Linked DNA regions of Xenopus tropicalis. Each later gene encodes a partner of the first gene's protein in a complex. Links are inferred from orthologs where the notes say so. Each region holds a gene or a part of one and is shown in the gene's direction. Other genes may lie near its edges. The genes, in order: sf3a3, sf3b2, sf3b4, sf3a2, sf3b1, sf3a1 and ddx46.

What was found.
Region 2: sf3a3 (region 1) and sf3b2 share a complex: the UniProt entries of both Homo sapiens proteins name them as parts of the 17S U2 SnRNP complex. The link is inferred for Xenopus tropicalis from reciprocal best matches to the Homo sapiens genes SF3A3 and SF3B2.
Region 3: sf3a3 (region 1) and sf3b4 share a complex: the UniProt entries of both Homo sapiens proteins name them as parts of the 17S U2 SnRNP complex. The link is inferred for Xenopus tropicalis from reciprocal best matches to the Homo sapiens genes SF3A3 and SF3B4.
Region 4: sf3a3 (region 1) and sf3a2 share a complex: the UniProt entries of both Homo sapiens proteins name them as parts of the SF3A subcomplex of the 17S U2 SnRNP complex. The link is inferred for Xenopus tropicalis from reciprocal best matches to the Homo sapiens genes SF3A3 and SF3A2.
Region 5: sf3a3 (region 1) and sf3b1 share a complex: the UniProt entries of both Homo sapiens proteins name them as parts of the 17S U2 SnRNP complex. The link is inferred for Xenopus tropicalis from reciprocal best matches to the Homo sapiens genes SF3A3 and SF3B1.
Region 6: the proteins of sf3a3 (region 1) and sf3a1 are in contact, whole or in part, in an NMR structure (PDB 2DT7), measured with the Homo sapiens proteins. The link is inferred for Xenopus tropicalis from reciprocal best matches to the Homo sapiens genes SF3A3 and SF3A1. Residues at the interface, in NP_006793.1 of Homo sapiens: Glu80, Phe81, Glu83, Phe84, Tyr85, Arg87, Leu88, Ile91, Lys92, His95; in NP_005868.1 of Homo sapiens: Ala161, Phe162, Asp165, Val166, Leu169, Thr170, Phe173, Asn177, Phe181, Gln184, Leu185, Lys188, Phe195.
Region 7: sf3a3 (region 1) and ddx46 share a complex: the UniProt entries of both Homo sapiens proteins name them as parts of the 17S U2 SnRNP complex. The link is inferred for Xenopus tropicalis from reciprocal best matches to the Homo sapiens genes SF3A3 and DDX46.

What each region holds. Positions count from the first base shown.
Region 1 is NC_030678.2:83,812,645-83,816,120, reverse strand, and holds the end of sf3a3 (splicing factor 3A subunit 3), read left to right. Parts: intron 1-530; coding exon 531-621; intron 622-819; coding exon 820-875; intron 876-2,465; coding exon 2,466-2,543; 3' UTR 2,544-2,697; downstream 2,698-3,476. UniProt on the Homo sapiens protein: Component of the 17S U2 SnRNP complex of the spliceosome, a large ribonucleoprotein complex that removes introns from transcribed pre-mRNAs.
Region 2 is NC_030680.2:40,088,333-40,092,482, reverse strand, and holds part of sf3b2 (splicing factor 3B subunit 2), read left to right. Parts: intron 1-451; coding exon 452-506; intron 507-748; coding exon 749-840; intron 841-1,009; coding exon 1,010-1,115; intron 1,116-3,523; coding exon 3,524-3,609; intron 3,610-3,973; coding exon 3,974-4,150. UniProt on the Homo sapiens protein: Component of the 17S U2 SnRNP complex of the spliceosome, a large ribonucleoprotein complex that removes introns from transcribed pre-mRNAs.
Region 3 is NC_030684.2:128,887,141-128,892,036, reverse strand, and holds the start of sf3b4 (splicing factor 3B subunit 4), read left to right. Parts: upstream 1-1,609; 5' UTR 1,610-1,645; coding exon 1,646-1,679; intron 1,680-3,963; coding exon 3,964-4,092; intron 4,093-4,896. UniProt on the Homo sapiens protein: Component of the 17S U2 SnRNP complex of the spliceosome, a large ribonucleoprotein complex that removes introns from transcribed pre-mRNAs.
Region 4 is NC_030677.2:102,622,640-102,627,484, reverse strand, and holds the end of sf3a2 (splicing factor 3A subunit 2), read left to right. Parts: intron 1-68; coding exon 69-115; intron 116-640; coding exon 641-750; intron 751-1,218; coding exon 1,219-1,268; intron 1,269-1,642; coding exon 1,643-1,783; intron 1,784-2,047; coding exon 2,048-2,116; intron 2,117-3,077; coding exon 3,078-3,701; 3' UTR 3,702-3,796; downstream 3,797-4,845. Other genes in the region: amh (muellerian-inhibiting factor), read left to right, coding at 4,348-4,810. UniProt on the Homo sapiens protein: Component of the 17S U2 SnRNP complex of the spliceosome, a large ribonucleoprotein complex that removes introns from transcribed pre-mRNAs.
Region 5 is NC_030685.2:45,929,867-45,934,556, reverse strand, and holds the start of sf3b1 (splicing factor 3B subunit 1), read left to right. Parts: upstream 1-1,635; 5' UTR 1,636-1,727; coding exon 1,728-1,755; intron 1,756-4,225; coding exon 4,226-4,392; intron 4,393-4,690. UniProt on the Homo sapiens protein: Component of the 17S U2 SnRNP complex of the spliceosome, a large ribonucleoprotein complex that removes introns from transcribed pre-mRNAs.
Region 6 is NC_030677.2:144,334,125-144,339,018, forward strand, and holds the start of sf3a1 (splicing factor 3A subunit 1), read left to right. Parts: upstream 1-1,644; 5' UTR 1,645-1,737; intron 1,738-1,750; exon of another isoform or gene 1,751-1,859; 5' UTR 1,860-1,993; coding exon 1,994-2,083; intron 2,084-3,013; coding exon 3,014-3,129; intron 3,130-4,894. UniProt on the Homo sapiens protein: Component of the 17S U2 SnRNP complex of the spliceosome, a large ribonucleoprotein complex that removes introns from transcribed pre-mRNAs.
Region 7 is NC_030679.2:26,177,840-26,181,989, reverse strand, and holds part of ddx46 (probable ATP-dependent RNA helicase DDX46), read left to right. Parts: intron 1-430; coding exon 431-568; intron 569-1,329; coding exon 1,330-1,479; intron 1,480-2,445; coding exon 2,446-2,676; intron 2,677-4,150. UniProt on the Homo sapiens protein: Component of the 17S U2 SnRNP complex of the spliceosome, a large ribonucleoprotein complex that removes introns from transcribed pre-mRNAs.

The sequences.
Region 1 (3,476 bases):
ATGTATAAAAACATTTGTTTAATATGAGCATGCTTTTCCATGCAAAACCAATTAGTACTGCAAAATTTGTTTCCCTTTTGAGCAGAAAGTGATTGTTAAACAGAAAACCTCTGTATATATGTCACAAAAATTGTATGTGACAACCCATAGCTTATTTCTTTATTAAAAAGAAGACAGAATGAAATTGCTATTGGACATTAAACACTTCAGTAAAGTACAGGATAACAACCTGTTTGATGGCTTATTCATAGCTGGTTCCTAGGAAATGCATGTAGGATAAGATGGAGTCATTACAGAGATGCTGTACATTATATTATATTTTAACCAGAAGAAAGCGGCATTCAAGCAGCATATTGTCAGTTGAACTACACCACCTACCATTGTTTTTTATAAGATAAAATTAGTTCAGCTCTAGTTGGAGGCCTATAAATCCATTTCATGGCATGGTGAAATGCAGCATTTTGTACTTTTTTTTCCCTTCCTGTGTCTGACCCAGTACTGACTGACTTATGTTTTCTTTCAATCCATAGGAATGGCGTCATGCTCATGGCATGAGATGTCTTGGCATTCCAAACACTGCACACTTTGCTAATGTAACACAGATTGAGGATGCTGTGTCCTGTAAGTAAAGCTTTTTCTCATGAATTCAGTCTAGCACATATTTCATTTCATCAGTCACCTATCTTACCAATTGTTGCTCTCTGGAATTTTGCAGTTATTAATTGTATTAAACATTAGAGAACTAACCTATAATTATAACTAACCTATTAATGAGCAATTTTGCATATATTACATACTTGTCTATTCATTCACTTATAGTGTGGTCAAAGCTGAAGCATCAGAAGGCCTCTGAAAGATGGCAGCCTGATACAGAGGTGAGTCCTTACTGTATTAACACTGGCTTAAACTTAGACCTCTATAATTTGCAGGATGGTAAAGTAGCCATTTCACTTGCTAATGAATTAAAAATTAAGTTGTAAATGTGTTAAGTAAGGTAAGTGGTAATGTTTTCTGCTTTTAGTTCATTTTAGTTTGTAATTTCAGAAAGTCATTTACTGCAAATCAAGACTACTGGGATTTATCAAAGTGCATACAATTCCTCCTGAGCATATAACCAGATATGTCATGGTTATTGTATGCAGATGTGCAAAACCTGTTGTTTTCCGCAGTCATGGATACCTAACACAATAAATAGAAACCAAAAAAAAAAATACTTAAACATTGTTGGGCCCATATCATATTTGATGTCCTTATGAAAAGTGCTTTGCAGTTTTGTTTTTAAACGTATCCAGTTTTCATAGAAATATTTGCAGGGGTAATTGCAGTTCCAAACAGGGGTAATTTACCTTTAAAATAACTTTTTGTAGGCTTTAGACCAGTGATGCGCAACCAGTGGCTCAGGGGCAACATGTTGCTCACCAACCCCTTGGATGTTGCTCTCTGTGCCCCCAAACCAGGTAGTTATTTTTGAATGCCTGACTTAACAAGATTTACTACCAAATAAAGCCTCCTGTAAGCTGATAGTGTGCATAGAGGCTGCCTAATAGCCAATCTTAGCCCTTATTTGGCACCTCCATGAACTTCTATACTGCTTGTGTTGCTCTACAAGTCTTTTTACATTTGACTCTGGCTCATGAGTAAAAAAGTTTGGGGGACCCCTCAGTGATGTTCTGAGACAATTTGCAATTGGTCTGAATAATTTTTCTTACTCTTCTTACTTACTTTTCTTACAGCAGCTATCTAGTTTCTGTGGTCCCAATTTTGTGAGATTAAATATAAACCTTTAGGCTAAAGTCCCACGGGGGGAATCGGTGGTGGAAAGGCCTATGCATCATTTTGTTTTTCCAAAGTCACACACAGTTTCCTCCTGCAGGCAAAACGGGGAAAAAGGGAGCAATGCGTAGGCCTTTCAACCGCCGATTCCCTTTATTGCTAGTGGAAAGGCTTTTTGGGGACATTAGTCACCCACGGTAGCAGAGATTTATTTTGAGCTGCAGCAAAAATAGCTATATAGTGTTTTTCTTTGATGTAGTGACTACCTATCCCCAAGTAACTATGTGCCACTTGTGGTACAGGTATAGGATCCATTATCTAGAATGCTTGGGACCTAGGGTATTCCAGATAAACTGTGTTTCCATAATTTTTAACACTATAACTTAAGTCTATTAAAAAAATCATTAAACACATTAATTAAACCCAATAGGATTATTTTGCATCCAATAAGGAATAATGATATCTTAGATGGGCTCATGTAAAAGGTTCTGCTTTATTACAGAAAAAAAGGAAATCAGTTTTAAGTATAATGCGCTTGTATTTTTCTGGTAAAATCTTATTTTTCATGACATGCTTTATATACCTACAGTTATTCACTGCCGGATTTCCTTATGTACATGTTTTATATGTATGAGACAATGAAACACACTGTGCCTCTATTGAACAGTGTTTTTTTTTCTGTACTTGAATAGGAGGAATACGAAGATTCCAGTGGGAATGTTGTAAATAAGAAGACCTACGAAGATTTAAAGCGTCAAGGACTTCTGTAACCATGGACATTTTGTTTCTAACTGCCCTGTTATGGTTCTGGATTTTCATGTTTGTTAATGTGACATTTCTATTTGCAAAGCTGTTGAACGTTTCATCTTTTACAAAATGCAAATTTTTTTTTTTTAATTAAAAATGTGCAAAATTTTCAATGCATTAGGCCAGTTTGTTTATATCGTTTCATATTTTGTAATCCTGCTCCATTGATTCATATTAGATGTAGTGACTGGGAAGAAAATAAGGGAATCCAAGATTCTTAGTGATATTTATTTAGAGAACCATGGTCTAATATTTGATTTACTGAATTCTGGACCTGGTCAATTCTGGATATGGTCAAGAACAAGTATTTGCCATTGCATTATACATTTCGCTAAAATCTTCACTAGCATCGGGCAGCCATTCCATTGTTTGGTGGACTTATTTATCTGGTGGTGCACATTTTCCTCTGCAGGGTTTCAGCCTATCCAATTTCATGGTTGGGCAGCCAGCAGTTAGGCAAACCTGAGAGGGAACCTCCACCTCTGTGTCTGTGAAGGCAGATCTTTGATTGGCTACCCACATCCTACTGTGCTTCTGTGGCAGGAGTCCACCTCTTATTTGTAAGAAACCATTTAAGCTTATGTTTAAACCAGGAGCCATATTTATATTGCCTACATAGTTATGGGTATTTAAACAAACATCCTACTTTAAAGGCTTTCATTTGTTACATATTTTTAAAATAAACAGATCATTTTTTTTTGTCAAATAAAAGGTTTTGCTCATTAGCAGCCTTGTTCTTCATCCATTCTAAAGTTACTTTTGGACCAACACAGTCCCATAGGAATGAATGCAGAGTGGGGAGAATTATACGGAGATGTAACGCTTTGATAAATCTGCCCCTAAGTATAGTTGCTTTTCTCTTGAACAACTCATAGGGGGGAATTCACAAAAGTGGT
Region 2 (4,150 bases), on another chromosome or scaffold:
GAGATATAGCAGGGTTGGAGAAGAGAAAAGAACACTGTGACCCCTGGATTTTGGTTCATCTTCATGTGAAGCCCAGGTTTTATATTCAGTACTAGATTTGGTATATTCTCTCTGCTTCCTTACTAGGAGCAAGAGGCAATTAGAGAAAATGTATTTTATGTTCTGACTCGGGGCTATTGAGAAACTGTATGGGAAGTTGTCTTGTACAAGTATAAAGGCTGAGGTGGGGGTATAATTGGGGACATAGCGGATAAATACATAGAGAGGAAAGGATGAATGCATAACTAACACAGAATATAAATTAATGGCTCTAAATAACTCTGGCCCATATGTTTTAGTAAATATTAGTAAGGGGGAAAAAAATTAAAGTTAACTGTCTAAATGGTGTATGTATTGCCTTTTGAAATGTTTCACTTAACACAACCATATATTTACATTGTTGTTCTTCTAGGTGACACTTATCGATCAGGAAGTCTCCACGACACGGTCACCCCTTCTTCCTAGAGGTAAATATTTATATATTTCTACACTAGAATAATTTCTGTCCTCTGGGGGGGAAATTGGTGTACATTCGCAATCAAAAAGTAGGTAAAGCTAGCCTATGATTAAGTGTCAAGTGCACGAAATGAGTAAAGCTATTATGTGGTCTAATTGTCTACAATAAAGCTTCTTTGATTTTTTCTACTCTTGCCTGCTCGTGGGATCTGTGAGTACCTGCTATATGTATTGAAGTATATCTTAATTGTAGGTACCCTCCCCATAAGCTCAATCCCACCATTGATGTCCTCCACAAGCCGCCCTCGAGTCCAATCACAACCTTCTGGAGAGGATTCCAAGGAAGTAAGTCCAAATTTTTGCTAATTTATTTGCTTTTTACGTTTTGTTCATGGCATTGTCTCTTTCCATTTTCCTCAGTTTTCCTCTTTTGTTTATTATTTTATGTGCTGCATATTTTCTGCACTGCAACCTTTTTATCATGTTCTGATTGTTTCTGTTTTTCTTAAAACAGGCAGATGACAGCTCAACAGGACCTAAAATCCCTCAGGTCCTTGAAAAGATTCTTCAGCTTAAGGAGCTCCGGCAAGAAGAGCTTGTATCTTTGCCAGCAACTACTGGTAATCTCTCCTAAAACTTATAACAGTGCCCAGGAAGTAATTATTGCTGTTACCAAATAACTATTTGGTCCTCTTGTCATGGTTTCTTATTAGAGGACCTAATACAAAACCCAGTATATGCACCTATGCATTCCCCTTATATGCCTGTTTGAATCCTCACTTCAAAAATAACCTTTGAATGCATGTTAATTTACTCCCTGATTGCTCATGTCATTTAGATGCCACTGAAAGCATATTCAGTTTATGGCATTTTTACTTTGATATATGTGTGCCTGAGTTTGTTTCTATGACGGCAATTATCCAGGTCTACATTTAACAACTGCAGCACAATCTGCAAAAAGAACTACAGTAAACTTTCTAGAATATCTGCATTTAACAGGGAAGTATATACTCTCTTTCATAATAAAGTCAAGTAATAGGGCTTGTGCTGAACATATATTTTTCCTATTGTTTTAAGTGAGAAATATAAATTGTTTCTTGCATTAAACAAAAAAAATTGTTTATAGAGAGCTCCCTTTGAACAACTTAAATTGTTTACAGGAGACAGGTTGAGTTCTACAAAAATATTAGGAAAATATGCATTTTTATCATTAAAGAATAGACAGGTCATATTCATTGTGGTTATGTTTATCAGAGCTGTATATAGGTATATACTACCCCTTTAAGAGAAACGAGAAGTGCTTATTCAGATGACAATCCACCTTCAGCTCATCTGAGCTGAAATATGTAACTGAAATGTGTTGAATTATTACTCTTCTATACTGATCTATACCTGTCAGCCATTTTCCGACAAATTATAAATGCTTTTGCTTCTTAAAACATTAAGGACCCTTAAAGGACATGTAAACCCCACACGAAAAAATGTAATCAGTGAACAGCCTCTTTGAAATCTTTCAATACCTGCCACACTGGTTGTCCAGAGGTTAATAGTAAGGCTGCAGCATCCCCTTAATCAGTTAGATTGCCTTCTCCTCCTGTTACCCACTTGTCCCCCTCCCTCAGGAATTTGCTTTGGCTGTTGGCTTGTGGGCATGCTCAGTTGTTCTAAACTCAGATTACTAAACATGCCCTCCAGTCTAGCAGCCAGTGAAGAGATGGCATTGCTGGTTTCCATAGAAACTCAGCTCTAGCTGTCTGCTTCAGGTTTTTTTTCTAACCTCCTCCCTTAGCTGAAATGTATGCTGAATAAAGGTCTTTGTGTGTGTGTGTGTGTATGCTGTTTGCAGATTTAAATGTAACTGATTATGTATCAGAGGAAAAATGGCCACCAGGTGAAAGCTTCTATTTTCTTTAGGAAAATGTGATGGTGCTGGCAAACAGAGGGGATATATGCAGTACAAATGATGCCATTTGGGTGGGGGAGACATGCCCAACTGATATTTGCATATAGGCAAATGTAGGCTTTACATGTCCTTTAAATGTATGCTAGTTTTGTCACTAATAGCAGCCTCCTCCTTTTTTAGCTGTATATGCTAAATCGTTAAGAACCAAACAGACAACACCCAGTAAGGCCTTTAATGTTAGGTTGTGAGTGTACTCTTCTTTCATACCAACAGTTTGACCATTTCATTTTAAATATCTCCTAATATTTTATCTCTACATTCCCCTTTATGTAAGGCTCAGCCTATAGACAAATGCTGGCAGAGAATCAGCTCTTACCCTTAAATCAGCACTCTTCTGTGCCTGGACTCAGGCAGAAGCAGTGGTTCTAGGTGCAAGCATAGAAGAGTACTGATTCTCAGTCTGCATTTATTCCCGTGTTGAGAATCATCCCAGTGTGCCCTTGGCCTAAAGAGTGAGGCTTTTAAAAAATATGCAGATAGTGAACCTACTGCTTTTTTTTTTTTTTTTTTTCTGGCGGGCTTTGATTGCTTTACTACCAAAAATGATATGGTTTACTAGGTAAAACAACTGTTAGTTGATTTGTTGCCAGTCCAAAAAGTTCTGTTTTGTGATGCTGCTTAGAGTATTGCTGAACATGCTATGCTATATGCTATGATGTACGCAGTAATAATCTGAGATTTATCTTTGTTTATTTTTTGTGGCTTTTGAATTCTTTAGCTTATAGTTCTGCAGCTTTCCAGTTTTTAATTTTACCAGCTATCTGGTCGCTAGGGTCCGGTTAACCGTAGCAACCAGGCAGTGGAGTAAGTGATAGGCTTGAAGATAAATAGAAGAAGGCATGAATAGAAAGACAAGTAATTAAAAGTAACTACAATAAAACTTTAGCCTTACAAATCAATAGCTTTTAGGCTGCTGAGGTCAGTGAACCCCATCCAAAAGCCAGAGAGAGGCAGAAAAAGAAGACAAGCAATTCTCAACTATAAAAAATATATAATTTCCCTTTATATATTCACATGCATGTAGTTTCGGTATTGCTTTTCAACCACTTGGTTTCTTTTTTTCAGAGGAGGAAGACATTGATGCAGACTCCCGTTACGTTAATACAGCTTCAGAGGCAGAAGAGGATAATAATGTCCTAAGTAAAAAAGAGGTCAGACATTATTCTGAAATCAAACATGTCTTTGTATATTGTATAATTTATATTGTTTTGTTAACATTATAAATAATTTTTATTTGTTTTGGTAAGAATTTACCATAAAGCCTCTGAGGGCATGATTCACACACAGGCAATAGTAGTAGCCTGAACTTCCTATATGTTATTATTGTGTATTCATAATACTGTTCACTCTTGTAGTTTTTTTAAGACTGATATGCAAAAGAGTGACCTGTAAGGTTTTTGTTTACAGAAAGGCAGAATTTGCTGCTGCAGTGTCTGTTTCCATGTTTGTGTTTTTCAAATTAATTATGTTTGCAGAAGGTTTTATATATATATATTTGTTGATTTGTGTCTAAAGAAAAAAAATCGAAGAAGGAGAAACCGAAAGAAGCGAACACGTAAGAGAATGGTTGGCTCAGAATCTGCAGTAGTTGATGAGCTTAATGAAGCTGCCGAACCTGATCTTGCAGGTGGAAAACTGGAGATAGAATATGTGACAGAAGAACCTGATATCTATGATCCCAACTTTATCTTC
Region 3 (4,896 bases), on another chromosome or scaffold:
ACAAAATATGGTACATCACCCACTCCAAAACCCCTGTGCAGACACAGCAATGAATCCTCCTCCGCTGCTCCGTTGGGTACAGCACTTTATATAATGTGAGGAGTTAAACTATGTTGCAGTGCCATCTTGCAAGTCATGCATAATGGCGTGGCAAGATCAAGACATTTGCCAATCCTGATTGGTGGGTAGGGGGCAGCAAATCAGTACTGTCCCACAAAAATCAGTAGTTATAACCCATATACTGGGCAAAATCAAACTGATCAGATGGTTATGATCCAACAACTGTATCACAACCTAGGACTATGGGACAATGTTGTCAAAGCTGCCAGCTTATACTGGGGAGGCCAACCAAACTGTCATCTTACATTGTCCTGTGTACAATCAGGATAAAAGAGAATAAAAGCCTGGTTAGTACCTTTGTCCCTTCCTAAACCCCACCAACAGGGACCCCCAAACCTGCTTAGTTGTTGTATCTGGTTAGAAGAAGAAAAGTGCAGGTTTGGCAGCTGCCATCTTGGGCTGCTCTGGCTCCCCTCACTACTGCTCCACCAGTCTGCTTTTTATATCCAGGGGCAACAAACAAGGAGTTTTTGGTACCAAGGCATTCACCAGGCTTTCAGTTACCTTTAACATTAAAGGTTTAAAAATATACATCAGACACAATAGTCAAATCTACTATTTGGCCAATAAGACTTTCTTGTCTCACTAAATTCTCAACCAACAGACATCTCTATGTAAAAGGGGAGGAGCATTGGTCTTTACATGTGACCCTTGTATGTTCCTTTAGGGTGAAGACACACAGAGCTACTAGTAGCAGCTACTTTTTCACAGCTACTAAACGCCAAAAAATCCCCTGCCATAGACAATACTGAGAATTCCCTCTGCTAAGGGCTCTGGCACACGGGGAGATTAGTCGCCCGCGACAAAACTCCCTGTTCGCGGGCGACTAATCTCCCTGAGTTGCCTTCCCCTGCCATCCCATCGGCGACAATGTAAGTCGCCGGTGGGATGGCACACGCGGCGGCGCGATTTCCCGAAATCGCCGAAAAAGATTTGGGAAATCGCGCCGCCGCGTGTGCCATCCCGCCGGCGACTTACATGTTTGCCAGTGGGATGGCGGGTCATGACAACTCGGGGAGATTAGTCGCCCGCGAACAGGGAGTTTTGTCGCGGGCGACTAATCTCCCCGTGTGCCAGAGCCCTAAAACACATTGAGACTGTTATCAGTAAATGATCAGCATTGTCTATTTAAGTAGCGACTACAAGTAGTTGCTACTAGTAGCTCCGTGTGTCTGCACCCTTAGCTCACACCAGGGACCCTTTAATAATCCTTGGTGCCCATAGAAACAATGAAACACCCTCTATGCGCTGACAATACTGGCACATTTACTGTAAAATCTTAAAAAAATATAAAAATAAATAAATAACCCCCTCAGAGTTTACTACACGTTTACTTTTAGCTTTGGGGTTTCATTACAATACAAATATCTCCGCCGGAAAGCATTGACTGCATAAGGCATGTTAATAAAGTTATTCCATCTAAAAAAAAAAAAAAAAAGTGGTTGCGGAAGTAAGCGTTCTGAGGCCGGAAGTAGGGAAGCGGAAACTGAAGCAGCGAGGTGGCTGAGTGGTTGGCGGCGAGAAAATGGCGGCTGGGCCGATATCTGAACGGAACCAGGGTAAGGAACGTACAGACTGCGTATGGGCTGCATGGGGTGATTGGGGCGGAGGGAACTGTTATGCCGGGGGGGCTGGAAGTAGGGGTATCCGGGGTTTACAGGGAACAGTAAGAGCTCAGAGCAGGGGGAGGCGGGCTGCACTGTGTGCATGAGGTGCAGGCTCCATCTCTGTGCAAAAGTCATTTGGACACAAAGCTGTTCTTATAATATCGGCAGCCCGGCCTGTAACTGTACCTGAATCTACACAGAAACATTGATCTGCTTCTTCCCCACCAATACAGTTTATAGTGCTATCCCCATAAACACTGTGTATAATGCACAGAACTAATGCTAAGCAGCCTCCCTATATACATTCATTACACATTTCCAACGTTTATAAAGTTTCTTGCAAAATATAATTGTTAGCGAAAGCCGTCTGTCTTATTATAGTCTACACTGCTGGTTCTGACTTCTGAAACAATGTAACAAAGGCCAGGGCTATTAAACTATGAAATGGTTTCAAGAATAAGAAAGGGGCAGATAGATACTACTTCCAATAGCAATAGCATTTACCTTTGAACCACTGATTTTTTTTATTACCGTATATACTCGAGTATAAGCCGATCCGAATATAAGCCGAGGTACCTAATTTTACCTAAGAAAACTGGAAAAACTTATTGACTTGAGTATAAGCCGACCAGTTACATGGGAGTAGGAGAAACAATAGGTTACCTCAAAGCTGTTCTATCTCATGGTGGCGATTTGGGACATCAGTGCCCGACAAGACAAGGATGAGACACCCACAGAATGGCCACCCAGCACCCTGCTATATTTCAATGAGACCCAAAGCAACTCCCGGTGTGCAAGTGAAGCAGCGGTACCTTGCGGTGTGCCCTGTCAGCAGCGCCAGAGGATCCGTAAGCCCAGCATTTACGCTGCTCTTTAAATAAGCGGCGGCGCTCCTCTTAATTCCAACCTGTGTGTCTGCAAGGAGCCGTCATGTAATCGCCTCGCCAGCTGCCGTGTGACAAGGGTTAAAGAAACAGAGCGCTCTCGGCACAATTATTGCAATAAGCAGCACACCCGACAGCAACAAGACACCACGGTCCGGGAGTTTGGCGCTGTTTGGCCGGTCCTTAGAGTTGCGGGACAACCTCAATAAAGTCCGCGAACGGGTCCTTCGCTATCTGGCGGTAGTCCGAGCGCTATCTTCCGCTACGTCACAGGTGTGCAGGCAGGTTCGCATGCAACGAGCAGCTGCGAAACCATTTACCGTATATATACGCGAGTATATGCGCGAGTATAAGCCGAGGGTTCCTTTTTCAGCACATTTTTAGTGCTGAAAAACTCGGCTTATACTCGAGTATATACGGTATATATATATGTTGGAAAGTTGATGAAAACTTTCTCTCGTTATCTTTCGGGTTTATAGGTGGATATCTCCAGGGTTGTAAAGGGAAAGCTAAACCCTGTAGCAAGGAGAGTTTGTATTACAAGGATTAAAGGAACAGTAACACCAAAAAATGAAAGTGTATAAGGGCTCTGGAACACGAGGAGATTTGTCGCCGGCGATTTTTAAAAGAGCGATTTGGCGACAAGACACCAATGCTAAATCAATGGAAATTGCCAGCGTCAAAACATACGAGGCTACTTCAGATCGCCTGCTGTTTCAAGTCGCACACAGACCCTTTTCTGAGCGACTTGAGGGGGGTTAACTGTTGAGTGTACCATGGGTAGCAGATCGCCTGGAGCTCAACTCGCATGAAATCTCTTTGAGGGTATTCTCGTGGCGACTTGTCGCCAAAGCGCCAGGGGGAAAAAACGCAGACGACAAATCTCCTCGTGTGCCAGAGCCCTAAAAGTAACTAAAATATAATGTGCTGCTGCCCTGCACTGGTAAAAGCTGTGTGTTTGCTTCAGAAAGTCTACTATAATTTATATAAATAAGCTGCTATGTAGCCATGGGGGCAGCCATTCAAAGGAGAAAAGGCACAGGCACATAGCAGATAACAGATAAAACACTATTGTATTCTACAGAACTTATCTGTTATCTGCTATGTAACCTGTGCCTTTTCTCCTCTTTTCCAGCTTGAATGGCTGCCCCTGTGGCTACACAGCAGCTTATCATATAAATTATAGTAGTGTTACTGTAGCAAACACACCAGTTTTACCAGTTCAGGGCAACAGTGCCTCGGATCTATGATCTGTGCATTTATTCAGAGTGTAACGGGGATATTTAAAGAGAAGGTGGAATAGCTGATTTGCCGTGTACTATAACTTTTTTTTTTTTTCTTTTTGGATTTAGATGCCACAGTGTATGTCGGAGGCCTGGATGAAAAGGTGTCTGAGCCTCTTCTATGGGAGCTCTTCTTGCAAGCAGGGCCTGTAGTGAATACACACATGCCCAAAGACAGGGTCACGGGGCAGCATCAAGGTAAGATTGGCACCTCTTAACCATTATTTCTTATAGCTGTGTATAGGCAGGAATGGAGGGGAATGCTGTGGAGAAGTTGTTGCAATTTGTAACAAGAATGTTTTAGTCCCTCCTCCCCTGCCAGGATTTCAAATGATGCAGAAAGAGAAGAACTGTTTTGCAGCTGGATTTCAGCATATAAAAATGGTATTTATTCATGCTTTTTGAAGGAACAGATTACAGGGTATTTTGGGGGTTTCTGTGTGCGGGAAGCAATAGTTTCCACATCGTTTGATCATGGTTAAAGCAACATATCTACTTGGTCACTGTCTCTTCCCATTTGCCTGAATGGGGAAACACCACAGGTGTCCTGGTGAAAATGTGTGCTGGATCCAAAAGCATCAGGGTGAAGACACACAGAGCTACTAAGTAGCAGCTACTTTTTCAAGGCTACTAAACCCCAGAAAATCCCATGCCATAGACAACTGAGAATTGCCCCTGCTAAAACACACGTAGAGACAATTATCAGTAAATGACCAGCACTGTCTTTTTTTTTTTTTTAGTAGCCACAACAAGTAGCTGCTATTAGTAGTTCCATGTGTGTTCAACCTTAAGGCTGAAGACACACAGAGCTACTAGTAGCAGCTACTTGTAGCAGCTACTTGTCACAGCTACGGGAATAGACAATGCTGATCATTTGCTGATAATTGTCTCCGTGTGTTTTAGCAGAGGCAATTCTCACTATTGTCTGGCAGGGGATTTTCTGGCATTTAGTAGCCTTGAAAAAGTAGCTCTGTGTGTCTTCACCCTAAGTGTACATGCTTT
Region 4 (4,845 bases), on another chromosome or scaffold:
AGGATATGTATTTACTCAAAAATGCCACTTGCTTCTCCATTCATTGTTGGTATCTTCTCTTTCTGTAGGGGAGTTATCTGGCTCATACACAAGGAAAAAAGCATCAGACAAATTTGTAAGTTAAATGTGCTGATTTTATGCATTAAAAAACACAGCAATGTCAAGTCAAAGTTTCCATTATTTATCTAAAGAATGTAAACATAGCCACCCCCAAACTGTACTTCAGTTGAACGTTGTGGTGGGAATTCCTTCCTAAACCCAAACTTGACAGATAATTGTAGGAAAGGAAACCACCCAACCCATTTTTAATTCCAACCAAAACCAGTCCTCCATGCATCTTGTCAGGGTTTGTGCACAACATCTACAGTTATTAACCGCTTGCTGCAGGTAGATCATAAAAGGTATGGTGTTTGCAGTCAAGGGAGTAACTGCCAGAGCCATAGGTTTTAATGTTCTGGCTTTCTCCATTCTCTTAACCTCTCAGATCGAGAGGTGTGGCAGAGGAATGGTTAATTCTCCTTAATTTTAAACATTTTAAGTTGTGTCAAATTGCTGTACTGATTTCTCTGGCACTGTCTTATTAAAGATCATTTTGTGAACAGTTGCAGACATTCTTACTTTTTTTTTTCCTTTTGATCAGAGCTCGCCGAGCGGCCAAAGAAGCAAAGGAAGCACCAGCACAACCTGCCCCAGAAAAAGTAAAGGTAGAAGTGAAGAAATTTGTCAAAATTGGTCGACCTGGATACAAGGGTGAGATTAAGTGTTGTGTCAATATGTCTTTTATATGAATGCAGTGGTTTATAACCCTGATTCCAACATAATAATCTTTTTTGGTATCCTCAGTCACATGTGGATTACCCTTACATTTAATAGCCTATCTTTTTGTTTGAAGACTGGTTATGCTAACATTTGGCTTAATCATCTGCTTGCAACAGTCCTCTGCACCCATCAGTGCAGGTATATCACTAGGTGCTTTCAGATGGATGTCAGAATTATGCAGTCACACTTTCATCTACCTTTTGTTGCTGCTGTTAGAATGTTTTAAACATTTAGAAGTCCTGTTAGCAAATGTTTCCAGCATTAGTGATGTTTTTTGCACTGATATTGATTTGGCCACTCAGCATTGCAGCTGTTTCTGCCCTGTATCTTGAATGTGAAAGAGTAAATGATATTATTTCACTGACTGATAATAAAGCCATACATTTATTTATTTTCTAGTGACTAAGCAGAGAGATCCAGAAATGGCCCAGCAGTCTTTGTTGTTTCAGGTAATAATGTGATTTACTGATATGCCATCTCTCTTAGACTCTATTTTAAACAAATAATTTAGATTTTTAAAAACAAAGTCCCTTTTTCTGTAATAATAAAACAGTACCTTGTACTTGATGCCAACTAATATAATTGTTACTTATTGGAGACAAAACAATTGTATTTGGTTGATTTAAAGAAAACCCTGGGTCGCAAGCAATCTGGATAAGAGGTTCCATACCTGTATTACAAAAAATTCTATATTACTGATGACAACAAGTATTGTCATAAATGTTACCCCTAAAACAATAACCAATATGTCAATGATGCTCCAGATGCTATAGGGGTGCCCATGCTGTAATGATGCTTCAGCCCTGTCTTTCTTTCTCTGCAGATTGACTATCCTGAGATAGCTGAAGGTATCATGCCCCGACACCGCTTTATGTCTGCATACGAACAGAGGATTGAGCCCCCAGACAGACGATGGCAGTACCTGCTGATGGCTGCAGAGCCCTATGAAACTATTGCTTTTAAGGTAGGATAAGCTATAGAGCAAGCCTTTCTCTAGCATTTGAAACCATAACTTTGAAAAACTCGCACATACAAAACCCTTCTCACCTTATAACACAATTATATATTCTTCAAATACGATTCAGTAGGCGTACCAAACACCCACCATTTCTGCAAAATGACATATTTTTAGTACAGCCTGCACTAACCTACTGAAAATTGACAAGAATTATTTTATCCATGTATCCAATTGTGGAATTTCTACAGCACTTTTTCTTTTATCCAACAGGTCCCAAGTCGAGAAATAGACAAAGTGGAGGGAAAGTTTTGGACACATTGGAACAGAGAGACAAAACAGGTAATATAAAATACATCTTGTGCAAAAGGGGGATCCCTCACGTATGTACCCTAGTAGTCTTAATTACATGTGTTCATTTTGTGCACATTTTGCATATTTCCTCCAAGACAAGATAATTGCCTGACGTGTGATTGTGTACGCAGTGCCCAGGTGATCACTATAAAAGTCTATGGAAGGGCAGTTACAAGCTGCCCACCAAGCTGCAAATTATACAGGGGTGGGTGGCAAAACACCTACAGTCCTGCAGTATGCCATAGGGATAGTTAATTTAATAGTTTTGCCTACCCTTTTTTCTTTAAATGCCAAACAGGCTGAGGTTTAACATTGTGTGTATAAATATTCTTTTTTTATATTATTTAAATAAATGTATAGTAAAAAGCCATAAAGGAACAATAAATAACCCCCCAGTCCTGTCTTTAAGGTAATAATGCATAAATATCAGACAAATACACAATCACCATTAAACAACATTGTAGTAGGTTAGTAGTAACTGCAACAAAGGCAGTATATTCTTTGTTTATTATTACATACAGCCACCGGGTATAACCAGTTACCACAGGCATAGGCACTAAATGGAGAAAATTGCAGCATAATGTATTTAAGCCTAAATGTAAAAAAAAAAAAAGCCAAATATAGGACTTCCCAGATATAAACTGTATAAAGTAAAACACTAAATAACTATTTGAATGTGATGTACCCCTTATTGAAATGGATTACATCACCACTCCATTTTTAAATAACAAATATCCCCACTGTAAAAAATCCTCAGTCATAGTGCCAAATATCAGATCATCATAGTGTAAGGCTAAGGTTATATCCACACGAAAAAATGTTGCCGGAAACCGTTTGGTAACACTCTAGTTTTTCTACACATTTCTGAATACTTCTGGATTACCTTGTAAAGGCTTGGAGCTACAGTATGTGACCTTTTCAACACTTTTTCCTTTGCCCTCTCTTTCAGTTTTTCCTACAGTTCCACTTTAAGATGGAGAAGCCTCCACAAGCACCCACTTTGCCTCCAGCACCACCTGGTGTTAAAAGACCTGTTCCTCCAGCCATCAATGGGATACAAGCACGTCCTCCAATGCCTGAGAATATGCCGCCTCCTCCTCCAGGAGGACTGCCTATGCCCCCAATGCCACCTGGGACACCTGCACCTCCTGTACCGCCACCACAGCTTCCACCTGCCCCAGTTGTTCCTCCTCCTGGGGTGCACCCTCCTGTGCCCCCACCTTCTCTTCCTCCTCCTGGCGTACCACCACCTGGTGTACCACCACCTCCTAATCCTGCTGTGCCTCCACCTGGTGTTCCACCTCCAGGCATTCCTCCTCCAGGCATTCCTCCTCCTGGTGTACCCCCACCACCTGCCCCAGGAGTGCCTCCGCCCCCTGCACCTGGTGTGCCACTCCCTCCAACGCCAGGGGTTCCACCTCCTCCTGCCCCAGGGGTACCTCCTCCACCAGCGCCAGGTGTACCACCTCCAGCACCTGGTGTTCTCCCACCTGGCCCTATGCCTCCAATGATGAGGCCACCTTTACCTAGCGATGGACCAACAAATATTCCTCCACCCCCTCCCACCAACTGATGTATTTCTTTTTCAAAGATAAGCATATTTTTCCCAGTTTTTTTTATTTGTGGTATGTTTTAAATCATTAAAAAAAAATCCCACCTTTGAAATAATATAATGTGGTTTCTCATTTTGTGTGTATGTAGTAGAGTTAGTTACAGGAAGCAAAGCTATAATAACAAAGATTTGCATGGTCAATTGAAACAAAACATATTTGCATTGTTTTGCATTCTGTGCAAATGGATTGAGGCCTGCAATATCCTACTGGGAATTCCTGATTTAATATGTACTACAGAGTGGTGCATTGGTTATTCCAGCAATATCCCTGACAGAGTTTCCACAATAGAGGTTTTGTGAGTTGTCAAGGACAAGGTATGGGAGAGTTTCACAGGGGTGGCTTTCTAAAAATAAGCTGTGAGGGATCCCATTCATTTTGCAAAGTAAAAAAAATTAAAAACATGGGACAGCACAGTTTGGGAATGCGCATCCCACAGTGAACTCAAGGTCTTAGCTTGGCCAAAATGCGGGAACCTCCCAGCATCTCGAACAAAGCTTGGCAGTAAAGGCATCACTAATATTTTCTGAATGCAAGGAGGTATTTGTAACATGCCTTTCTGCACAAATACGTGTGTGAAGCAAGAGGATTGATGCTGCATTACCTTTCATGACTGAGATGCTACCAATATTGTTTTTCAACTACACTGTAATGGGAATTGTAAGTTTAGGTTGGTGGCTACTTATGTTGCCAATGATGTGTCTTACTTTATCAAGCAAGTCAGTTCCAAAGGTTGCAAAAGAAGATTATAAAGCAATTGTTCTTCCAAAAACCTTTTCTCGATCTAGTCAACTTGTGAGACGGGAGCTGGGAACTGAGGAGCAGGACAAACAGATGTGTGGGGTGTCTGCTCCAGGCTGGAGCAAGTGGGAAACTCAGGGTATAATAAGGAAATATGACAGTGCTTTCTTGAATGCAGTACAAAGGGAGTCATGGGAAGCAGAGGACCTAAAAGTGTTTGGGATATGTCCTGAAGAAAAGCATCAGGCTGCTCTGGAGGTACTCAAGCACTTTGTAAGTTTGCTTGCAAAGCCTCAAGAAAAACACCTAGTGATCCTTCACATGGAAAAAGGTATGTGGCAATTCACAACCGTTTGCTTCAGATCT
Region 5 (4,690 bases), on another chromosome or scaffold:
TTGGAAAAATCAGGAACTGAATATAAGCTTTTCTCTTCAACCTGAATCAGACCCAGTGGGTGAAAGTGACCAAAAGTAGTCTTTTACTCTTTGTTTACTGTGGTCCTGATTCAAAGTGTGCAGGTTTCTGTCAGTTCTGCACACAAAGTGCCAGGACCCCAAAAGGGATATAGCCTAAAGGGAACATTCCTCATCAGCCCTTGAGAATCACACTGGTCAAACAGGAACTTTTTACTGGGGATAAAAATGCCCAAATTATTCTTACATTAGGGCACCCTAAGGAAAAGAACTGATCAAGATCAGAGAAATTATAAAAATACACACTGCTTTTACAATATTGTAGTATCTTGGGTGGGGCATACTTCAGTCATCATTGAAGACTTGGAAGAGGAAAACCCTGCAGTAGAGAAAACCACTGGGGAACAATAATTTGAAGGACTGACTGTGATATGGGGACAAACTAGCAGTAGAAAGTCTATTTTGGGGATGTAGAGTTTGAGAGTTGGCCCTGGGTGAAGTTGCTAATTAAGGTCCCAACAGCAACTTTATAGTCCCTCAAACAAATGCTGGCATAGGTGATGTAGCTTTAGGGCTCCCCTGTGTCAGTGAGCACCACTGTGCGAACTACAGAAGATGGGAGCAACAGAATGGTGCTGAGCACAACTATACTTTAGTGCAAGGAGCGCATCATGGCCTTTACTAAATTGGATTTTGCGCATAACCGACTACAGCCAATTTAGCAGAATCTGATCAGCAAGGCAATCATGATGACCTTTAATAAATGGGATTTTTTACATAACTGACTGGAGCCAACTTATTGCAAGCTGTACACTTGCACAACAGCAACTTTATCCCTCAAACAAATGCTGAAATTCTTTTGGCATAACTTTGCTGCTTTGATTTAAACAGGCCAGTGTGGTAACCCTGGCACTATCAGCTGGTTTGGAGGTGGTGTAGCTTCAGAGCTCCCCTGAATCAATGGGCGTCACTGTGCAAAATACAGAAAAGGAGACAGGAGTAACAAAAAGTAGAAAATCTATTTTGGGCATGTAGAGATGGAGAGTTGGCCCTGGGTGAAGTATCTAATTAATGACCCAACAGCAGCTTTATAGTCCTTCAAATGCTGGCGTAGGTGATGTAGATCTAGGTCTCCCCTGCATCAGTGGGTACCACTGTGCGAACTACAGAAGACGAAAGCAACAAAACAGTGTTGAGCGCAACTATACTTTAGTGCAAAGAGCGCATCATGGCCTTTACTAAATTGGACTACGGCCAATTCAGCAGAATCTCAACCGTACACGGGGCTGCTTCGGACTGTATATATTTCCGTTTCATGTCCTTTTAATTGTGGTGGGGCTAACCTATATGAACCCACCGCTTTGCGCAAAAATTACCTGGTAAGTGTAAGTAAGAGGTGAGATCAAGTAAGAGCCTCACTAACTGTAAAATGCTGCGACGTATTGCTGAAAATATAATGCATTTTAATTTTACTATTTATAACGTCGCTCACGGTACCGAATAACGGTACAAAACCTACGGATCACAAAACGTACTCCCACCATGCAGGATCTTACTCCCGGAAACCTAAAGCATAAAAACATTCTGTGACGCTTCTGGGCGGCCACCAATAGAGACCGCCCATTATTCTACGTATTAACAGAGCATGCGCCTAGTTACCTACGGAGGAGCTTTGGTGGCGTGTTGCCTCTTTTTTACGGTTTTACAAAATGGCGAAAATTGCGAAAACACACGAAGGTAAGAATAGAATACTAATGTTTCGGTGAAAGGGATAATTTGTAATTTCGGTTAGTAAGTCAGCCTTGTATACATGAAATGATGAATCTATAAACTTTCGGGAAACGTGAGAAGGCCTTACTGGCTATTAATTCTGTGCACACGCGAATAGTCAATGGAGTTGGATTAAAACAAACAGGATTTCGGTTACTCTGTCCTTTTAAGATTGTAATATATTTATGAATTCCGGTGACCTGTTGTTTTATTGTGGACCCGACGGAGGGTCAGAGAACGTCTTTTAATGTACTAACCTTTGTTTGTTTTTGGAGGCGAAACGTTTCTATTGGTTGTGTAGAAGGCAAGGAAGAGCAGTGGAATGCGAGGACATTCAACGTGTTTAGTTGCCCAAGTGATTTCAGATGTCAGTGGGCTGATGATAAAATACTTCAAATAGTCCGTTTGATCATTTTGTTTGTTGACCTGGAGTTAACCATACAGTTTGAATTGCCTTATGTGCCTATTTACTAAGGCTGAATTGCCTTGAAGGAGAAAGAATGGCTAAATCATTGGGGATGCTAAATCTTAGGTACCCCCCCAGTAATTGTAATTGCTTAACTTGTACCCCTGGAAAGGGCCCCCCATCCCCTTTAGCCTTTCCTTCTCCTTTGAGAATGTAAATCGCTGGCTGGATGGCATATGCAGCGCCGCAATTTGCCGAAGTTTCCTCTCAAGGCAACTTTAGCAAATTGCAGCGCCATGTATGCCACCCCACTGGCAATTTACATTCTAGCTGGTGGGATGGCATTGTGGGGAGATTTGTCGCCGCTCTTAGTAAACTGTTTTTTTCAGGGTGGCAGGAAACACAACACTGATCTGGCCAACATTGATAACTAAGGTATTTACCTGCTCTCCTAGGTCAGGGAAAATAGCAAGTAATGATAGCCTGACCTGTGTGGTGCATGAGGGATAAAAAGCTGCTGATCATTGGCAGTTTATTGGCCCGTGTATGGGGCCCTCAGACAGGACTGCCCTAACAATATCTGGGCAAGATTTCAATCAGAGAGGTTAAAAAAAAAAAAAAAAAACCCAGTCAGGGGGAGGAGTGCAATGGTTGTTGATGCAATCCCCGACTGTTTGCATCCCATAAATGTGATCTGAACGTTTGGGCCTAGAGCCAAATGATCAGATCAATCCGATATCCCCTACCTGTGTAGGTAAATTTTCGAACTTTCCTCTACTACGAATCAATGTAAAAAGGCTGTACAATGGTGGTGCCTGTTTGTCGCCACTGTTGTTAACACATTTGTTTTAGTATACAAGTAAAGACCTTGGTTTTCATACTGTAGGTTCTGTTTGTGAGTGAAATATCTGAAACAACAAGCCTAGAGAGTATAGGATCCATTGCCTGGAAAACCATTATCCAAAAAGACCATCACCCATAGAATTAATTTTAAAAAAATTCAAATTTTTAAAAGTCTACTTTTCTCTTAAATTATAAAGTAGCCCCTCATCTTCTATTCTCTTGATTCCCTGCACATACTTTGTGCTGCTGTCAGATACTGAGCTTGGGGACCGACGCACAATATACTGTATATATACAATATAAATGTAACGGTATAAGGCTGATTAGTGATTCATTTGGATTCAGTTAACATGGCAGCTGTGAAAACAGTGCAATTAGCAGCAGAATTTAATAACCAGACCTATAGCATTAGTTTATATGACAGGCCAGCCTTTTTTCTGCTTCATAATTTGCAACAACCCCTCAGCTTAGCTTCTCAACAGCCGCCCTAGCATGTGCACTGTCCTGGACAGTTCTAACAGAATCCAAGATGAGAAGCTCCTGTGACAACTGTAAAGACCTATATCATTGCTACTATAGAGATGCTGAAACTTTTGACTAGTGCAGTCAGTTTACTACTATTTTTAGGGTTTAGTTCTCCTTTAATACTTATTAGAGGCACAAAAATCCTGTGTTTTTTTTTTAGTAGACTTTAGGTATGGAGATCCAAATTAAGACACCATATCAAGAAAACCACAGTGTCTTCAAAATTGGGGTTATGTATAATCTACATGCTTAGATTGTGAGATGTTCAGGGCAGGGACCTCCTTCCTACTGTGTCTCATACCACATGGCACTTACTCCCTGTGTATTTATACTTGTATAAATAACACTTGTCCTCCCTGTGTGTAATATTTTATATTGTAAGATTGTACAGCGCTGCATACCCTTAAAAAAAAAAAAAAAAAACAACTTAAACTTAGTCTTCTCCCATCCAAAGTTAATATAAATTTGTCCTATACTAAATTTCCTAGAATTTCTTTTTTTGAGACTCTATCCTAATTTACATATCAATTATTAGCATTGAGCTGTTTGCAAGCTTGTTGTGAGTTTTTTTTTTTTTAAATTGTTACCTTTTCTTTATCTCTGGTTTCTAGTTGCTAACAAACTAATGTACCATTAAATATTTTAATATATTTTTCCAATCAGATATTGAAGCACAGATACGTGAAATTCAAGGAAAGAAGGTAGCCCTCGATGAGACACAAGGAGTTGGTCTTGATTCTACTGGATATTATGATCAAGAAATTTATGGTGGAAGTGATAGCAGATTTACTGGATATGTCACATCTATAGCAGCAAATGAGCAAGATGATGTAAGTTTGAATAATTTTGTTTGTTTAAAGAAATGTCAGTAATGTTGTTGTTGCCCTATCCTATACTATATATCTCATATTTTTCCCATACAGACTTGAAAAGGGAGGAAAGGCACAGGTTACATAAGCAGATAACAAATAAGCAAATACAATGGGAATCTTATCCAACTAATTTATCTATTTACGGCAGACGGGGAGATTAGTCGCCCGCGATATGCCACCCCACCGGCTTGAATGTGAATTGTCGGTGGGATGGCATACGTGGCGCCGCAATTTCGACTTGCCTTGAGAGGAAACT
Region 6 (4,894 bases), on another chromosome or scaffold:
TTCTATCCATGTGGGCAGTCATGCAAATTCTAATAGGGATGTAAATAAGGTTGCCGCCTGGCTGTCAAAACTCATCCCTAAAGCCATTCTTATTAATGGCAAATGGGAGAAAAAAAATGATATAAAGGCTGATATATTTTTCTATAAAAGGTGTCGACCCTCATGTAGAGCTCACATTTGCAAAGCAGAATACAAGTGAACAGGGGGTCAATGTCATTAATGGCTATAGGTAAGATATAAACCTTTCTGATATAAATAAAAGCATTGCTGCATATATTTATTTGTATAGTTTACGGATGCACCCAATTCAGAATTTGGTTACGGAATCTGAACCCTTTTCATTCATCCAAACCCTATACGTCACGTTATCTCGCAAAAGATGACTCTCTACATACTATAACATTTTCATGCCACTGTGTTACTGGTCTTTTTAAAATAGAAATTAATCACACTACTTCGAATAAGACTGACGTTATTAGTGGTGCTTGCAAAGCATCACTTCTATTATCTCACAGGCTTATTATTATTCTTCCGTACAAAAGTTCGGCACGGAACTTGTCCCGCACCGTTTGTCGTAGACCCATGAGTGAGGTGTCAAATCGTGTGGCCTATTCGGGAATGGGGTGCTATGTCTTTTCTAAGGGGTTGGCGGTTAATTGCCCCTGCAGGGGGCAATTAACTGGCCCAAAAATCCCATAGACTTAACATTGAGGCCAACTTTGACGGATTGTAGCGCAGAGAGGGAATTTTTTAGAAACATGAAATTTACCACATTTGAAGAGGTTTGCAACCTGTGTCAGAAGATACCCCGCACAAGGGTATATGTTTTACCCCCGGGGCAAGAGAGGTCCTCAAATTTGCCCCATTGACTTATAATGGGGATTTTGGCAAATAATTAGTTTGTCGTAGACCCATGAATGAGGTGTCAAACCGTGCGGCTTATTCAGGAATGGGGTGCTATGACTTTTCTGAGGGGTGGGCGGTTAATTGCCCCAGCAAGGGGCAATTATCCGCCCATAGACTTAACATTGAGACCAAATTTGAATGAGTCCCGCACCGTTTGTTGTAGACCCATGAATGAGGTTTCAAACCATGCGGCTTATTCGGGAATGGGGTGCAATGACTTTTCTGAGGGGTGGGCGGATAATTGCCCCAGCAGGGGGCAATTAACCACGTTTGTCGTAGACCCATGAATGAGGTGTCAAACCATGCGGCTTATTCGGGAATGGGGTGCAATGGCTTTTCTAGGGGGTGGGCGGTAAATTGCCCCAGCAGGGGGCAATTAACCGAACTGAAGGAAACATTGTAATATTGGGGCACGAGTTTTGCCACGGCAAGCACCACTCACATTTTCTTCAGGAAATGTACCTCTCTAGTTGATTTCATTGCATTGCTGCTAATAAAACACCTACCTAATTTAGGGACTGCATACGTTAGCTGCGGCTCTTTCAATCGTTCGCATGCCTTAAACCCCCCCCTCCGTGTGGCATAAAAAAAAAACTTTTGCCCCTGTATAAACTTCGCGGTACCGAGGCTATGAGGATAACCGAATGCGCTGGCAACGTCCTTTCAGGTTTCTTCCATGCCATACATTTAGGTCTACGTCTCAACTATCTGACGCCGAAGCCAACTCCATGGCAACCACGCACTCAGAGCGTCTGAGTGGAAAATCAACGTGGTTCCGCAACGCAGTGTGCAAGTTACATCCTGGAATATACCATTCAACAAAAAAGGGGGGTAGGAAGTGACGCGCTTACACGCTATGGCATTAGACTAAAAAAAAGGAAATATGTACAGTTAGATTCTGTAGTTGTTTCTATTGACTTAAGATAAAGACTATGTATGCTACGTTTTTGCAGGCGGAACGCTGTAAATAATAACACTCAGCTGGGATTATCCACGAGACGCCTACCTTGATTCTGCGCAGCCGCCATTTTGCTCGTCTGCCGAAGTTACCGCTTCTGTCCTTGTTTGTGGGATTGGAGTGGGCACCATGCCGGCCGGACCAGTGCAGATAATGGCGCCGCAGACACCGGACGGAGGCCAGGTACGGGACTCTGCATCGCGGCAGAGGGAGATAGAGGTTCTCCGATTATTCAGGGATTTATGAAAAAGAGTAGGCCTTGGTCATGTGGAGTAATGATCTGTCTAGTCTATTTCTCTGAGTAAATAAAACAGGTTCATCGTAAGCAGTTAAAGCAGTGGGTCTAAAGCTGAAATAGTTAAATAGTTATAGAGCTAAGGTTCGCAGAGCGTTGCCTGGGGTGGGGTGTAGGGTAGACGTGCAGAACTATGCTCTATGGGGATCTTTAAGCAAAAACACTTGCATAATGATAGAAAATGAAAGAAGCAACTGTACAGTGTATTTAAAGAAATGTTAGACGTTATTTGTAAATATAATTGCAGCTACAAGTGGTATTTGTTTTGACTCTAAACATTGTATCAGAAGTTCTAATTTAGCTGACTTCTGTCGTATTGTTTCAAGAGTCAGAACCAGAAACGCAGAGAATGCGAGCAGCCACTCAGGTAGAGTTTTCAATAACATTTGTGTTTACAAGTAATAGTCAATATAAAGCAAGTCTGTAGGGCATTGGATGGGCCTTAAATTTCAAGTCTTCCCTGGAGTGAGATGCTGCAGCTTGTTGGTAAGGGCTGTTTCTGCACTGCATATTCCTTACCCCGAACTATAATGTAAGCCAGAGATCTGACAAATTTTAGATGATATTGTATTTTTCTGCTAATGAACATTCAAGCCTGTGACAGGTTATACTGCCCCTTTGAACATTTTCCAGTCTCTGAGGTGTCTTTGTCTGAGGCATCTGCTGTTATTTTATGTTTTTTAAACATATATTTGTAATACAGTGCAGTTAAATCTTAGACAGTGTGGCAATTATTTTTCATTATATGTGTGATGGGCCAAGATACATTTTTATTTATATTTTCTGCACATTAATTTGTCATTATGTTTATCACTTTGTTTATATTATTTTGTTTGTTTTTTTTTTTTTTGCAGCAGATGGAGGAGGAGAAGAAAGAAGAGGTAGTTCCATCCAAGCCTGTTGTTGGAATTATTTACCCTCCTCCAGAAGTCCGAAATATAGTGGACAAAACCGCAAGCTTCGTAGCAAGGTGCCTCCTAAAATATATTCTTGTTGTAGATAGTTTTCAAATAAATGTTTTTAAATTTGCAGTTATGTACTAATTTAAAGGACTAGCAAAACTGCACACAGGAGTGTATCAGTTTGTTAGGCATCCTCCAGTAAAAGAAATCGCTGTTCTTTTACCTTGGGCCTATGTGCCTCTTTTATTCTTAAAAACAAACAAGCCTGGTTCACAGTTTCATGGAAGTGGTGATAGTATTGCTAAACATAGTGTGGAAATTTTCTGGTGTTTAGCACAATCAAGACATGGGTTTAACACTGCATAAAAATTTTGGCAGTTTAACAGAAGTGTTGAGGTAGGTAGGCAGGGGATGAAGCCCTGAGCAGCAGGAGGAGTTAAGTTTAATATTTTAATGTCCATTCTCCAGCTGAAATATGTACATCCCAAATCATATAACCTTTATGAAACCAATTAAACCATTTCCCTGGTAGTTATAAGGCCACTATCAGACATTGCATGAAAAAATCTTATAGATAAGATGACACATCAAATTTTATATAATATCTTTAAAAAAGTATTTCCCTTTCCCATAAAAACACGAATTGGATACATAATATCTTTCAATTCTTGATTCTAAATGGAATACAAGGATACAAGAAGGGGCCCCTTACCTAATGCTGACAATTTGCTACCAATTAGGGATAAAATAAGTAATGGGTATCACCCAAGTATATTTTTGTGCTTGGGTGATAGCCCATTACTTATTTTAGCACTAATTGGTAGCACATTGTCAGCATTAGGGAGGAGCCCCTCCATGGTTCCTTGTATTCTATTTAGAATCAAGAATTGAAAGATATTATGGTGAAATGGAATAATGATGGCTTTTTAGAAAGTGTCATTAAGGCTAATGCTCTACATAGAGATTAGTTGCCCACGATAAATCTCTGCACCCGTGGAGAAAGGCATACGCATCACTCATCAATCATTTTCCGAAGTCGCGCAAACTTTCCTCCTGCAGGCATTTTGGGGAGATTAGTCGCCTGTGGTACCAGAGATTTATTGTGGGCAGCTAATCTCTTCTTGGGACATTAGCCTAAAGCCAGTTAAGAGACGGTGCTATTGACATTTATCATGTTCAGTATTTATCTACTGTTAATCAGATAATGAAATATGTGTAGGCCTTGAAGCCTGTTGACAAAGCTTTTGGATAGTCTTCTAATATCGATGGTAATAATGGATGGGTAAGTAGATTTGTGCAGAGTTGCTTTAAGTATTCAAGTTTCCTTAAGTCTCATCAATGGAATAACTATTGTAAATATAATAAAACCTTAATAACCTGTTAAACCGCCTAAATTTTCCTTGGTGTTGCATGATCACAATTTTGATGACAGTGAGCACAAAGACTTGAGATACATAGACACATAATTTTTTGCCTTTTCTGCACACTGATTTTAAAAGTGGGCATGTCACTTTTTTTATGTACATGATCTTAGGAAACTAAAGGCAACATTGTATTTTGGGGACATGTATGATGCATGTTAGGTTTATGTAACACTTTAGTACCAGTAGCATTTCTCGTGGTATAAAATGTTCTTGGCATTAAGCATTTTTTTGTTTGAACATGTAATGAATAAACATAGAAGTATTGACACAGGTGCTTCTTATTTAGCAACATCCTAATGTGCCAAAATCTCCCCCAATTTTTTCTGTAAATGTATTATTTTAATTTAGAAGTAAAAGACTTTCTTTATTGATGGTAAAGCTTTATTAGACACTTAACAGGATATTGTAA
Region 7 (4,150 bases), on another chromosome or scaffold:
AGGCCAATAGTCTGTGTTTTAATAGCCATTTTGATTAACTGGTCCCTCTGTTGTAGGTCAGCTTTTGTGGGTAAACGAGCCAGTATTTTTTGCATGTTGTTGAATTGGGTTTAGGGATTTGCTAGGGCATAGGCCTATTCTGTGCCATCTTATGCTCTTTTGTGGGAGTAAGGCCTTCTGCTCTGTTATGTTAAAGAATTGTGCTAAAGAAGGCACCCAGTACTCTTCTGAGAGCACAAGCATGACCATTGGTGTTTTTCTTCAAGTTGTTGCCCGTATTGCAGGGATATTGGGGAGAAAGCTATTTGAGCTTGCAGGCAGGAGCCATTTCACTATGGATGTCTGCGAGAAGGAATTCATGGAGAATGCCAAAATACCCTCTATTGGGTCTTGCATGGAATTATATACCAGTTTCATCTTAATTTTACAGGGATATGCCTTTACCTTCATCACAGAGGACCAGGCCCGCTACGCTGGTGATATTATCAAGGCTTTGGAGCTGTCTGGCACGGCAGTCCCTGCTGAACTTGAGCAACTGTGGAATGAATTTAAGGAACAACAGAAAGCGGTAAGATATTTACCCTTCCCCTATGCATTTGAATCCAGATGACTATGTACATGGGGGTAAAGTATTGTACACAGTTAAAGGGCCTGTTATCCAAAATAACTTTTAACAATAGGATTGTTTAAAATAAGGATTAATTATAATAGTTGATCAAGTACAAGGTATTGTTGTATTGCAGAGAAAAAGAAAATCCTTCTAGTAAGTAATTCACTTTAAAAATGAAATCTTGGGTGGCCGTACACGGAGTGGATCTTCTCCCAATATACCCACCTAAGGTGGGCGATATTGGGCTAATTCAATGGTTTGGTCCTAGGCGCCATCGGATCCCATCAATGAGCCAATGCGGCCCCTGATACGTAGGAAAATCAAACCTGCCCAATAGAAGGAGAATCTCAGAAGTGTGCAAGGCATTGTGGGAATTTGTATGGAGAGCCGGCTAAATTTTTTTCAGTTGTGTATAAAGTCAAATAGTAGTGCAGGTGGTAACAAGAGCAGTCAGATCCTGCTCAGTAGCAATAATATTCATAATTTACAATTATATTACAGTTAATTTTAATGTATATTACATAGTCGCTTAGAATAACATTTGTTTTATTACACCAAATGTTATATTTAGGATTACTTCCCCATCGATAGAAGTTTGAAACTTATGTTCTCCTTTTGCTCTGTGACGCAGCAAGAAAGTGCTGTTCACAACCCTGTCATGCTAGGACCCTTAACAGTTGAATCCTATACCTTTTATTCTAACTTTTATCTTTCTTTAGGAAGGAAAGATAATTAAGAAAACCAGCGGGTTCTCTGGTAAAGGCTTTAAATTTGATGAGACCGAACAGGCTTTGGCCAACGAGCGGAAAAAACTGCAGAAAGCAGCACTTGGCTTGCAGGATTCGGATGATGAAGATACAGCTCTTGATGTGAGTAATAAACATACAATCATGGTTATGTTCTCTTAGTAAAACCTGGAAAATATATTTGAAATTTTAAAAGGGATGTAAAGTCAAAATCTTAACTCCATGTTTAAATATAGCCCCAAGATAGGAAAGCACTATAACATGTTGTTCTAAATAAAATCAGATGGCAAAGCAGTTAAAACAGGGTTAAAACATAGCCAACTGGAGCTCTGTATTCCTTAATGTCTGCTGTGTAATGAAGAGTGGGCCTGTCTCACTCTCTGCTCATGTTTTACTTCCTTACCTGGGCCTGACCTGCGCTTATCAGCAAATGTACAATGACAATCCAGTAAACAATATCCTGTGCGTTTTTGTTCAAGTCTGGAATAGGACAGTCCCTGCTTTTTTTAATATCAGGATGGCCACTGGCCATGTAGGTTTGCAGGGGCTGTGAGCAGAGCTTATTTCAGAGGAATAACATAAGATGCAATATACAAAGGCTTCTAATTAAAAAAAAAGTTAGAGCATTTTAATGGGTTCATATTGCAAATTTACATCATTTGGTCTACTGTAAATAACACACACAAGGATTATGATTTTTGACTTCACATCCCCTTTAATATAGCAATGTGTAGCTCACAAGTGCCCTGGGCCATAAAGGCAGAAACAATAAATATCCGCTCAACTCAACTGACCTAAATGGGAACAAAGGTGTTAAGAGGCTCACTCAGGAGTGGTAACTCTTGCTACTGTAAAGATCTTATCACAAACTGGCAATCCCTATGAATTTACATTTCTTCTTCTTTAGAGACCTTTTGTACAGACCCTTTTTATAAAAGAGCTGACCCCGTTTTCTTTTTCTCATAGTATGACATTGCCACAGTTTGCCGTATTTGCAAGTAATCGTATTTGAAATTCAGTATGTACACTGTTTATCTGTTATGTGTTTATAGCATTTTGCATTAATTCAAAGTTTTATTTACCTTTTAGATTGATGAGCAGATTGAAAGCATGTTCAATTCGAAGAAGAGAGTAAAGGACATGGCGGGACCTGGTGGTGCGGCAGCAACCGGTGCCCCAGGAATGGTTGGTGGTGCTGTCGGAGCAGGCTCTTCAGCTAATGCAACATTACCCACTGCAGGCAATGCAGAGAAACTGGAGATTGCAAAGCGTTTGGCTAAGAAACTCAGCGTGAACAAGAATTTGGGAGCAGAAGCTCAGGTGTGTATATTTCCCTATAATTACAGGAAAGCCCACCTTAACTCAATTTTTTTTCTTTGACTTTGTCTAATGCAAATATTAAAGTACATGTAAAGCCTACATTTTGCTACAATGTATATATGTTGGGCACATCACCCCCACCCAAATGGCATCATATGTACTGCATATATCCCCTCTGTTTGCCAGCACCTTCACATTTTCCTCTGGCCATATTCCCTCTGACACATTATCACTTACATTTAAATCTGCTAACAGCATATGTGCACAAAAACCCCTGTTTATTGTACATATTATCAAGAATGCAGTCTCACACAGGCACACTGATAAAAAAAAAAAAGTTCTGCTTCGATTGAGCACTGTATTGGTTAAGCTGAGCTCAGGGGGGGAGGTTAGGAGAAAAAGAGGAATAGACAGCTAGAGGTGAGTTTCTATATATATATATATATATATATATATATATATATATATATATATATATATATATATATATATATATATATATATATATACAAGAACAGAGAGGAGCACACCCTCTGAGCAAAAAACAACTGCCCTCGGTGCTGGTCAAACAATTCAATAAACAAGCAGAGTACCGCACACAAAGGGACTTTATGAAAACAAAAAAGGTTTATTGGAAAAATCCGACGTTTCGAGCACTAAACTGTGCTCTTCCTCAGGGACAAACCTGAGGAAGAGCACAGTTTAGTGCTCGAAACGTCGGATTTTTCCAATAAACCTTTTTTGTTTTCATAAAGTCCCTTTGTGTGCGGTACTCTGCTTGTTTATATATTTATATATATATATATATATATATATATATATATATATATATATATATATATATATATATATATATAATATATATATATATATATATATATATATATATATATATATATATATATAATTTTTTTTTTTTTTTTTCCCCCTCATGGGTAGGCGGTGTTATATAACACACTAGGTGGTTTAGTGTTACTTAACCTGCAGCCTTCCTTATCACCTTCCATTGCCAAACTTCTAAAAAACCAACCTTCCATTGACTACCTTACAAGAAATCAACATGGGTAAAGAGGGTATTTATACAACAATGTACAGCCAGAAATGGCTAGTGATAAGTATTTTTAAGGTATAGCAGAGACAACTACCCTTGAAAATGATATACTGAATGGTCATTAATGCCAGGTTCTCCTGTTGATTTGTGCATTCCATTTGTGTAGTTATAGCAGTTTGGAGGAATGACTACAGCTTTGGTCATTTTTATAAATTTTAGAATGATCTCTAAGCTTTCAAATTGCAAGCTTTAATGCCCAAGGCCCTCTGTCTTCTGTAGCATTCATTGTTTGTATGTTTGCTGTATACGTCCTATTGTACATCACAGCAGGCTGAAGTGGTCTTTTAGAAATGTTTTAATAATAAAGTTAATAAGATGTTGTTGCATTTCATCACCAAATTAATTGTTCCAACAATTTAGGGT